Schizosaccharomyces pombe: one gene and its partner. The protein of the gene in region 2 purifies or fractionates together with the protein of the main gene of each other region. This does not show direct contact. Each region holds a gene or a part of one and is shown on either strand. Other genes may lie near its edges.

Region 1 (4,606 bases), on a different chromosome or scaffold from region 2:
CTCTAAAGCCTTGACAGAGCATAAACCTTTACATTTATGTAAAAACCTCAGTTTTATATCTCGATGTAGTTTTGAATCTCGAAGAGAAAAAATGATATTATAAACAAGGCCTTGTTAACCAACACATATTGATGAAAGCATTTTTTTTGAAATCACCTTAGTTTAATTGACTTTAAAAAACTTTCAATAACTTGTAGTAGTCATCATCTAATTGCATTGCGAATTTCTTCTTGCTAACTACTTTAATTTGAAATTCTTTTTTTTTAACAAACATGGTATAAACATTTGCGCTGATTCTTATCCAATATTCTCGTATGGAAACCTCTTATATTATACTAAACGATTTGTTATATCACCGAATCAGCAATTTTTCAATCAGAAAGATTCTTTTCTTTCAATGAAAAAAATCTAAAAAAAAAACAATTTTCAAGATAGTGTTTCTTAGTAACCTAAAATTTTAAACTCATTCGGCTTCCAATTTATCAGCTGCGCACACTAAAACATTAGCAGTCAACAAGTTGGATTATCAAGTTTCTTATTACGTTTCCCTGCAAACTTGCACTGAGACCGCCTTGATGTTTCACATCAAATTTTGAGCTCAGGAAACAACTCATGAAATTTTTTTTATCACTGAAAGATTTTAAAGGAGAAAAATTCGTCCTACGCTCAGAATTGGATGAAAGCAGTGCTTTCTTGTGCGCAATTAGCCCAACCTGTAGATACGTCTTAAGGGGTATAGAAAGATAGTGTGTAAAACGTTCTTTTACTAATTTTCCAGATGAAATACCTTGGAAACGATTGCAACGGAACGTAACCTCAGAATCATTAACCGATGAACTTATCGTGGATCTGTTGTGCGGCAGATCCGAATCAAAGCACACATTGCAATTAGTGGTTTTAGAGAATTTATGTAGGGTATGTTTATTGCAATACTGTAGTAGTTAATGAATTGCTGATTGTGTGATGACTTTCAAACCAAGGAATTTTTTTGTTCGTCGCATCTACCCCATTTTGCCAGTCGTTTTTGAGCTGATTAATTAAATATGCTAACAATTTAGATTTATATCAACTACGTTGATCCTTTCCCTTTACGTATTGCCTGGTTTGAATTAGAACAACAAGCATTGAAAGACCATGAACATTTTGATGTACTGTGGGAGTGCAGCCATTCGATAAAGGTATGAAAAAAACTTTACATTCTTTCTCTTTTGCTGATTATTTGAAATTTAGGACCTTGCCCTTGCTAGTATGGCTCAACAAAAAAACGAGCTTCAAAAGCTTATGGCTTATACAGAGCAACTTCAAGAAGAATGTAAGTCTAGGGAACGAAAGCTTATAATGAAATTTGCAGATATGATTAAAAATGCAAGAAATAACGAGGATAATGAAGACAACCACCATATTAATTATGAGGATGAATCTGATGTCGGGACAGACGAGCAAAAGCAGCAAGAGGGAGTCAATTCTTCCGCAGTCTCTGATACTGACGAATCTGCAGTTTCTGATGAATTTATGCAGATAAAAGAAGAATTTCCAATGAAAGCATTGAGCGCTTCACCAACTGCAGACGCTTCTCCCGAGTCAGCAGGTGAAGATGATTCACATAGGCGATCGTCCCACGAAAGTAGCGAAACAGTTTCTGAGTAGCTTCGGAAGGAATGATAATATGATACATTACGCTTCAAGTTAAACTACCCGAAATGCCTCTCCATTCTTACACTTTTTTCAGTATTCAGGTCAACTTTATTCTCTTTAATTTCAAAACAATAATAAATTTACTTAAATTTAAATATTCACACGGAATCCTACTATAGGTAAAGCACTTGCAAGATAAATACAATATGTATAGTTGGTGAATTTTTATAAAGATGTCTTATAAGCCTAGCACTTCCTTCCTGTACAAAAGAATGAAGCATGTTTGCGATCGTGTTTACCATGCTATTATTTTCTGATCCACTTTTTCTTCAGCAAATTTACTATTTACATATATAATTTGTTACTCAAGGTTGGGCGCGTTCTGAAGTAACGTGTTTATTACTTGTCGACAATACGCTTCATAATTTCACCAAAATCCTATAACCAAGCCTGTTGTAATTTTATACTGGGATTTAGGCTTGAATATTCTTTTTTGACGGCATTTAGCAATTTTTGGCTTTGGATAAATGAATGCTTAGCTGTGTGGGCAAACGGGTTTTCGCTATTGGAAACGCAGTTACTAATTTGAATTTGCTAACATTCATACTGTTTTTAAATTAAATGCTGTGAAGATTTCTTTTCTTAAACTTTTCATATCTTTTCGAGTTACATGCTATCGGTAATTGCGCTAATTGACGCGAATTCTTAATATAATAGGCATTATTTGTTGTCTTCTAATCGAAATCTTTTAATTCCATAGCATATCTCTTTTTTAAGTAAATACTTTTATTTGAATAGTTTATACAGCGCATGCGATGAGCAACGACAGCAGTGATAATCAAATTCGTCGTCGGCATCATCCAGTACTGCCTAAGGGTTCCTTTCAGAAAAAGGACGATTCTATCGTCTTAGAACAGGAATTATCTACTCCAAAACAAGTCAACCAAGCCCGTCCAAAGTTTCCATCTCCAATTACTCCTACTCTTCCTGAAATGCATCTTCCCGTAGGGAATTCAAAATTCCAAGCGGTATTGCCAAGCTTGATAAGCCCTACGCTTCCTCCTGGGTTTGGAATGGCAAGCGATGACTCTGAAGCATCGTTAGCAGAGAACGATTTACATCCCTTGGATAACGATTCTACACGTACTAGCAAAACGCTTAAAAATTCATCAGAGGTTTTAACCGCTTCCAAACTTACTGATGAAGGTAATTCTAAACCTTTGTTGGAGGAAGGGGAGGTAGCTGTCAGTTCTCCAATTCTCCTTGATTCAAAAGATGTAATAATGGGAGTCACTAAGAGCTCAAAAAATCTAGTTGAAGATGCTCACAAATCAAAGAAGGCCTCCACGAACAGTTCCATAAATAATATGGTATCTACTGTAAATTCTGAAAATTCTAATGTTAATAATGGATCCTCGTTGAATGGTAACACCAGCAGCAATCTCAAGAGAAAAGCCAATGTAACGTTAGGTGATTATAAGCGCTTAAAAGTAAAAAACAAGAATCCTTCTTCCCAAGAGCTGATCACAGCTGATGTTGACAAAACATCTGGTTCACTGTCTGAAAAGTCGGAAGTAAATCATGCCTCTTTGAAGAAAACGTATATGCGTCTTCTTAACAGTGGGAAAATGCAAAAGAAAGAATGTGATAAGAAAGGAAAATTTTTCGAAGCGTACGCTGTAGATGCTGTTTTATGTTACACAGTTGCTTTTCACCTACAGAATCTTTCCAATCTTTCGAGAAACCATCCCGCTACTACGAGTAACTGGAGAACCCTCCCTGCGTATATTCAGTTTCTCATAAAAGAAGAGGATAAACTGGATCCTTGTATTCAAGGACTATTTTTTCTTTTACTCGGGATTGCATTTCGTGAAATTTTTCATATCGAGGTTATGAGGATACGACACTCACAATTGAATCTTATGAGAGACATAAAAGAAAGCTCAAGTGGATTAACATCTGCCAAGTCCCTCGGTGATGCACAGAATTTATGTGAGAATGCGGTGCGCCTTTACTCTTCGTATAAACATTACATTACATCTATGAAGAAGGGAAGTTCGTTGTTGACAATTGAATATATCTCATCTACTGCACCAAATACTTTTAACGAATTTTTTGTCCAAAAAAAGGCAAATATCCCTTTGCCATTAGATATCGACGCTCCAATTGGTGTCACAATCAGGTTTAGTCACAATTTATTAAACGAATGGATTAAAAAGCAAGGAGATGTTTTTGAGTCAAAGCTTTTAAAAGAAGATATCGAAAATCTTCAATCTTTAGAAGAAAGCTACCCCATTGCCCAATATTTATAAATAATTGTATTAACTCCCATAACTTGAAAGATTTGAGTCGGTCTTCAATAACAGAATGTCATTCTTTCACTAATAAAGTTACTTAATGTATTTTGCTTTATCATGCCTTTGTGTTTATTTTCAAATATGTAGAATAATCGAATAGATATTGATTCCCACGCTAAGTAGAAGTAATAAACTAAAACGTTTAGAATGCATGAACTTCTTAAGTACCTAGTACTATTCTGAATTTATATGATACGTTCACTGTAAAGATTTAAAAAGTCGTAAAAAAGTTCGAGGCTAGACTTAATTGTCTTTTAATACTAGATATACAAAGAAAGGCGATAAGCCTTTATACTCATGGTAATAAATAAAGAGCGATTTCAACAATGCGAGAGTCCTCCTTAATAATATGCAAATTACAGACGATAGAAACGTTTAAGCTGAAGAGGAAGTATTAACTCTTTCAGAATTACTGTACACAATAGGCTTTTCTTTCGAGCTCGGATGACGACGTTCTAACTTTGAAAGAATGCGACGACCACAGGGCGTATTCTTTATGCTTGGAATAAGTGGTTTAATCCGTTCAACCAACTCTGCGCGTTGCTTTACACTCGCATTATCAAGTGCCGTTTGAATAACATAATTAGCGAAAGAATCACGAAGTAACTTGGGAA
Region 2 (4,629 bases):
TTATTGATTTGTGCAGTTCGCTTTGAAGCTAGGGATATTCCAGCTTGCAACTTTAATAGTGCTTATCAAGAATATCGACAACTGCATCAATCTTCCGTTATAAATGCCGCAGCATCGGGAGCTCTAGCTCATAGCAGTCGATTATGGGGAAGGGATGTTGCTTTGGAAGCATGGGAAACTTTAGGGTCTATAGGATTGATTATACCGGTTCACCCTTCTACTAATGTTAGTGGTGCCCTTTCTAGACAATGCCAACTATGGCAGCCAGAAGTGGATATCAATGTAGTTTCTGTAGGTTTGCGTGAACATCGACGTTTGCCATCGCATTATTACCGCTGGCTTAAGGAGGTTATATAAAAGAATTGCAATTTTTTTTGTTTCTGTTGTATTTTATTAACTTTGTATCCTTTTTAAATAAAACAATATAAGAAAGGCAAAAATAAGGACGACCGTGTTGAAGGTTATATACCATTACACATTGTAGTTATTACCGATATTTGATAAATAAAAGTTTTAATTTTAATTGATTAAATATTTGCTTCTGATAAACGAAAATAGAATTTACTTTTTTGCTATCAGCGCTGGTTAAGCTGTGAAAGAAGCTGGTCTCCAAATATTTATATTAGATGACTTATGAAGGTAAATCAGTAATCAACGGATCAATGAATACCTAAACATTTTAATGATAGTTTTTGTTTCAGGGTCACTTTGTACTAATGTAGAAAAAAAATTTTGGCGGAATATTTCATGAAAGGTGGTAAGAAAAACAAAATAAATTAGATTAAACGAAAGGACTCATCAGTGGTACTTTTAAGCCCAAAAAAAAGTGATAGCACATAAGGAATTCACGCAGTTTAACTAACTTAAAGATATGTCATAAAAGTTTAAAAAAAGCATCACAATAACAAGATTCTCATTATAAAATCAAAAACAAACTAATATTCAATAAACTGCTAATTGAATATGAATTTAACCAATTTATCTTTTAAACGAAACACTAGCCTTAACGAAAGCAGGAAAAAACAGCCTGCACTCGTTGTAGGCACCGTACAGTATTGAAACAATTTTGAATTGAAGCTGAGATAACCGTCACCTTTATAAAACATTGGAAATAAAACTGAGTGTTAAGAAAACCGGAAATTTATTGAGAAAAGTTAGAGGGCTAGCTCCGAGGAAGCATCGTAAAGTGTATTTTTCCAGCTTTTGAGCTGAGAATGTAGAGATATAAGTTCATCTTGGAGCTTGTTTAAATTAGGATTATTAGTATCATTATTATCATAATATGAAGAGACTTTTAAATATAAATTCTTATAACGCGGATAAGTTTCCCGAAATCTTTTTGCCAATGCTCGCATTTCTTCTGTAGTGTAACGTTGTTGACGACGCTTTTTAGCTATCCATGCATCTTGTTCATTCTTCTTGGGAGAGTTTGCATTGGGTTCAAGAGTGCCGTTGGTAGAAGACGAAGACGTAGGAAACGGGGTGGAAGGCAAGGATTGCGGAGGAGAACGACTTTTTCGTTTGATATGTGGAGATGAAAGATTGGAGCAAGTAGTGGAAGAGCCAGGTGAAGGAATGTCGGAGATAGGAGTATTTAAGTTTGTTGTATCGCTTAATGAAACGGCAGAGCTTTCTGAACCAGTACGAGAAAGATTTCCCGATGTTTTTCGGTGTGAGGAGGGGGAAAGCAAGGGAGAATAGTTTGAAGCGTTGAGCTTGGGTATGCGGTGTTGTTGTTGATAAGAAGAAACCGAGGAAATAGAAGGCATTGAAGGAGAGTTAGTGTCAATGAATGAAGGAACATGAGAAGTGGGTTGGGCCAATTGGGGAGGAATTCGTTTTTCATTGTTGAGTTTAGTAATGTTTTTTTGTTTTGACACTAAAAGTGAACGTTCAGGAGCATCAGGAGGCAATTGCATGTTGTCGAATGCATTGGACATACGACTTAGAACGGCATTCCTGTCTGCAATACTATAAGGACGCCAATCAAAGACTCGTACATCTTTATACACAGGATTAAGGAGCTCCCATTGATTCATGTTGTTCTTCCAAGCGACTTCTGGTAATAACGCTTGTAATTTGGAAAGTGACGCCTTTGTTCTTAAACGAAGAAAATCTTCAGTTTCGGGAGCGATTGCCAAAAGTTGGATAACACGAGTACGAAGATCAATGCCTTTGGCCGAGTTTTTATCACCAGAATAATGTGGTGATGCAGACGGTTGCGAGACGGGAAGGTTTGGGGAAGGTGTATTTGTGGGAGAAGAGGAAAGACCAATTCGTGAAGCACTTGTATTGAGAGGCCTGAGTCCATTTTTTTTTAACTGCTTTTGCTTCCTAGCAGTTGTATTTTTTGAACCACCATCATTTTGAAGGGTAACAATTCTATTTTTACAAATATTAGCATAATTTGAAAAGAGAAAGATTGAAAGTAACTTCTTCCAATCCATAGAATTGGTTGATACTATTGTCGTTCTTTTCATACCTTTTTTCTTCTTTTTCCTTTTGAGCTTCCTGCGTACGATTTTTCACTCGCTCAGCAGTTAAACTGTCGAGCTCTCTACGAAGCTGTAGCTTTTGTGAGACACGGCCAACCAGTTGTAACGAATTCGAGTCCACCAGTCTGTAAATCTCATGCGGAGCAGTTTCTGGAACGGAAGTGCATTTGTAAGACCTATCGTTCGCTAATATTGACTAAAAAAAGTATATTGGTTAGCAACATTCAAAATTCATTCTTCTTTATCGCTCTTCACAAATGCCCACACATACAGTACCAACATCACTGCATTCCAAGCTCACGTCTGTTATCGTTCCTGAAAGATATCCTTCGAGAAACTCTTTGGGTAATTGTACCAGCATCAATAAAGGCGATTCTTCTTCATTTCCGCCTAATGCTACAGGTAGAGCATCAGAAATGCTACTGTTCCTAATCATTCAACCCAAATAGATCGATAGTAAAAGCCTCTCAAAATGATTATATTAGCTAGATGGCACAACGGAGAAGCTTGTTTAAGAAGCCAGTAAGTACGGTAAAGGGATAAGAAGGTGGACTAACATAAAGATGCACCTTATGTATGAAACCTAGCTAGAGCTAAGTAACAAAAAGTAGCACATATTGGTGGTGTACAATAGGAATAAGCAGCGTATCGCTAAATGGAAAGAATAATGTAAACATTCGAAATTCAAAGAAACAAGTTGCAGCTTTGGTGTAAAAAAATATTTCTTTTTATGTCCTTTTAGCTCATATGTGACAGTGTACTATTTTTTGAGATGAATATCGGACTTTGGTTTACATAGTTCAGTTTTTAGTAACAGTGGAAAAATGAGAATTAGGGAGCGATGCTGAACAAATTTGAGCTTGCGTCCTTAGTTTACTATCTAGATATAAGTAAATCATATTTTTCTAAAAAAATAAATTTCCGTTAGGTTCGAAATTCTAAGCGGCGGAATAGGGTTACGGGACCAGAAATTTATTGATGAACTAGTGAATCTTTTAGACTTATTTAATCAATGACTTCTTGAAAACTCTACTGAATTGAAAACAATGATGCTTTACAAATTTTGCCAATTATTCCATAATTGAATTCACTTTTGTTGACGAACTGTGGTATTTATAATTTCAAACAAAAAAAAGGTCTTTAGTACATTAATTTATCAGGTTAAATGAGCCAATATAAAGCTGTTTAATTAACCACAGATTTTTTTTTGATTTTACTTGCTGGTCCTGTTATTCGTGTTTATCAAACTACGCAATTATTTAGATTGTTTTTATGATAATTTGTTAATTTCATTTAATTCAAATCGAATAACGAACCATTTGTTTTTCATTGAATCTTTACATATGTTTACTACATAGTGAATATATTTATAGTCTAGAAACAGTCTTCTTCTGAGTGGAATTATCTATCCTTTAAAATTCATGTTACTAATACAAATATAGTATAACTAAAGTTCCGAAATACTTGATGATTCAGAATAACTGGTATTAAGACAAAAGTAATGACTAGGTTTAAAGCATAGAAGATATATATGTTTAAAATATATCTACAGACATCCAAGGTCGGGTAGCATAGTTGGTTATTGCGCACGACTGTTAATCGTGAGGTCGAGGGTTCGAGTCCCTCCCTGACCGGATATATTTTTGTGTAAATATATTTTGTATATACACAGTTAAACGAGTACTACCAGTTATTTTATTATTGTGCTCATTGAAAATTCTTTCAAAAATCATGTTGAAGCTTTTAACAAAATTTAAAATACCTCTTATCTTTTCTTACACTATATATCTTGTTAAATTTTTTGACAAACGTCTACGGCCATACCTAGGCGAAAACACCAGTTCCCGTCCGATCACTGCAGTTAAGCGTCTGAGGGCCTCGTTAGTACTATGGTTGGAGACAACATGGGAATCCGGGGTGCTGTAGGCTTTTTGCCATATATGTTTTGGTTTCCACTATCGTGCGAACGATTTCAATAAACAAACATTCGTGTTTTTTTCGCTTATGCAAATGGAAAATGTTCATACCAATTTTTAACTCCATAAAAGCCGATATTCCTTACAGAAGATTAACCCGATAAACCCTCGCAGTGATTGAATGAATTGAACGGAATGCTCGACGATTATTCGCAAAA

The links. Proteins that work in one complex are often made in the same cells at the same time.
Region 1: the proteins of ell1 (region 2) and ebp1 purify together in Schizosaccharomyces pombe (affinity purification with western blotting; one study listed by BioGRID). This does not show direct contact.

The regions. Positions count from the first base shown.
Region 1 is NC_003424.3:3,275,992-3,280,597, reverse strand, and holds ebp1 (protein Ebp1), read left to right. Parts: upstream 1-2,064; 5' UTR 2,065-2,450; coding exon 2,451-3,947; 3' UTR 3,948-4,106; downstream 4,107-4,606. Other genes in the region: protein Xrc4, read left to right, coding at 613-733, 779-915, 1,059-1,178, 1,231-1,647; puf4 (RNA-binding protein), read right to left, coding at 4,368-4,606.
Region 2 is NC_003423.3:2,028,105-2,032,733, forward strand, and holds ell1 (RNA polymerase II transcription elongation factor Ell1), read right to left. Parts: upstream 3,037-4,629; 5' UTR 2,932-3,036; coding exon 2,767-2,931; intron 2,692-2,766; coding exon 2,483-2,691; intron 2,383-2,482; coding exon 1,155-2,382; 3' UTR 506-1,154; downstream 1-505. Other genes in the region: origin recognition complex subunit Orc4, read left to right, coding at 1-357.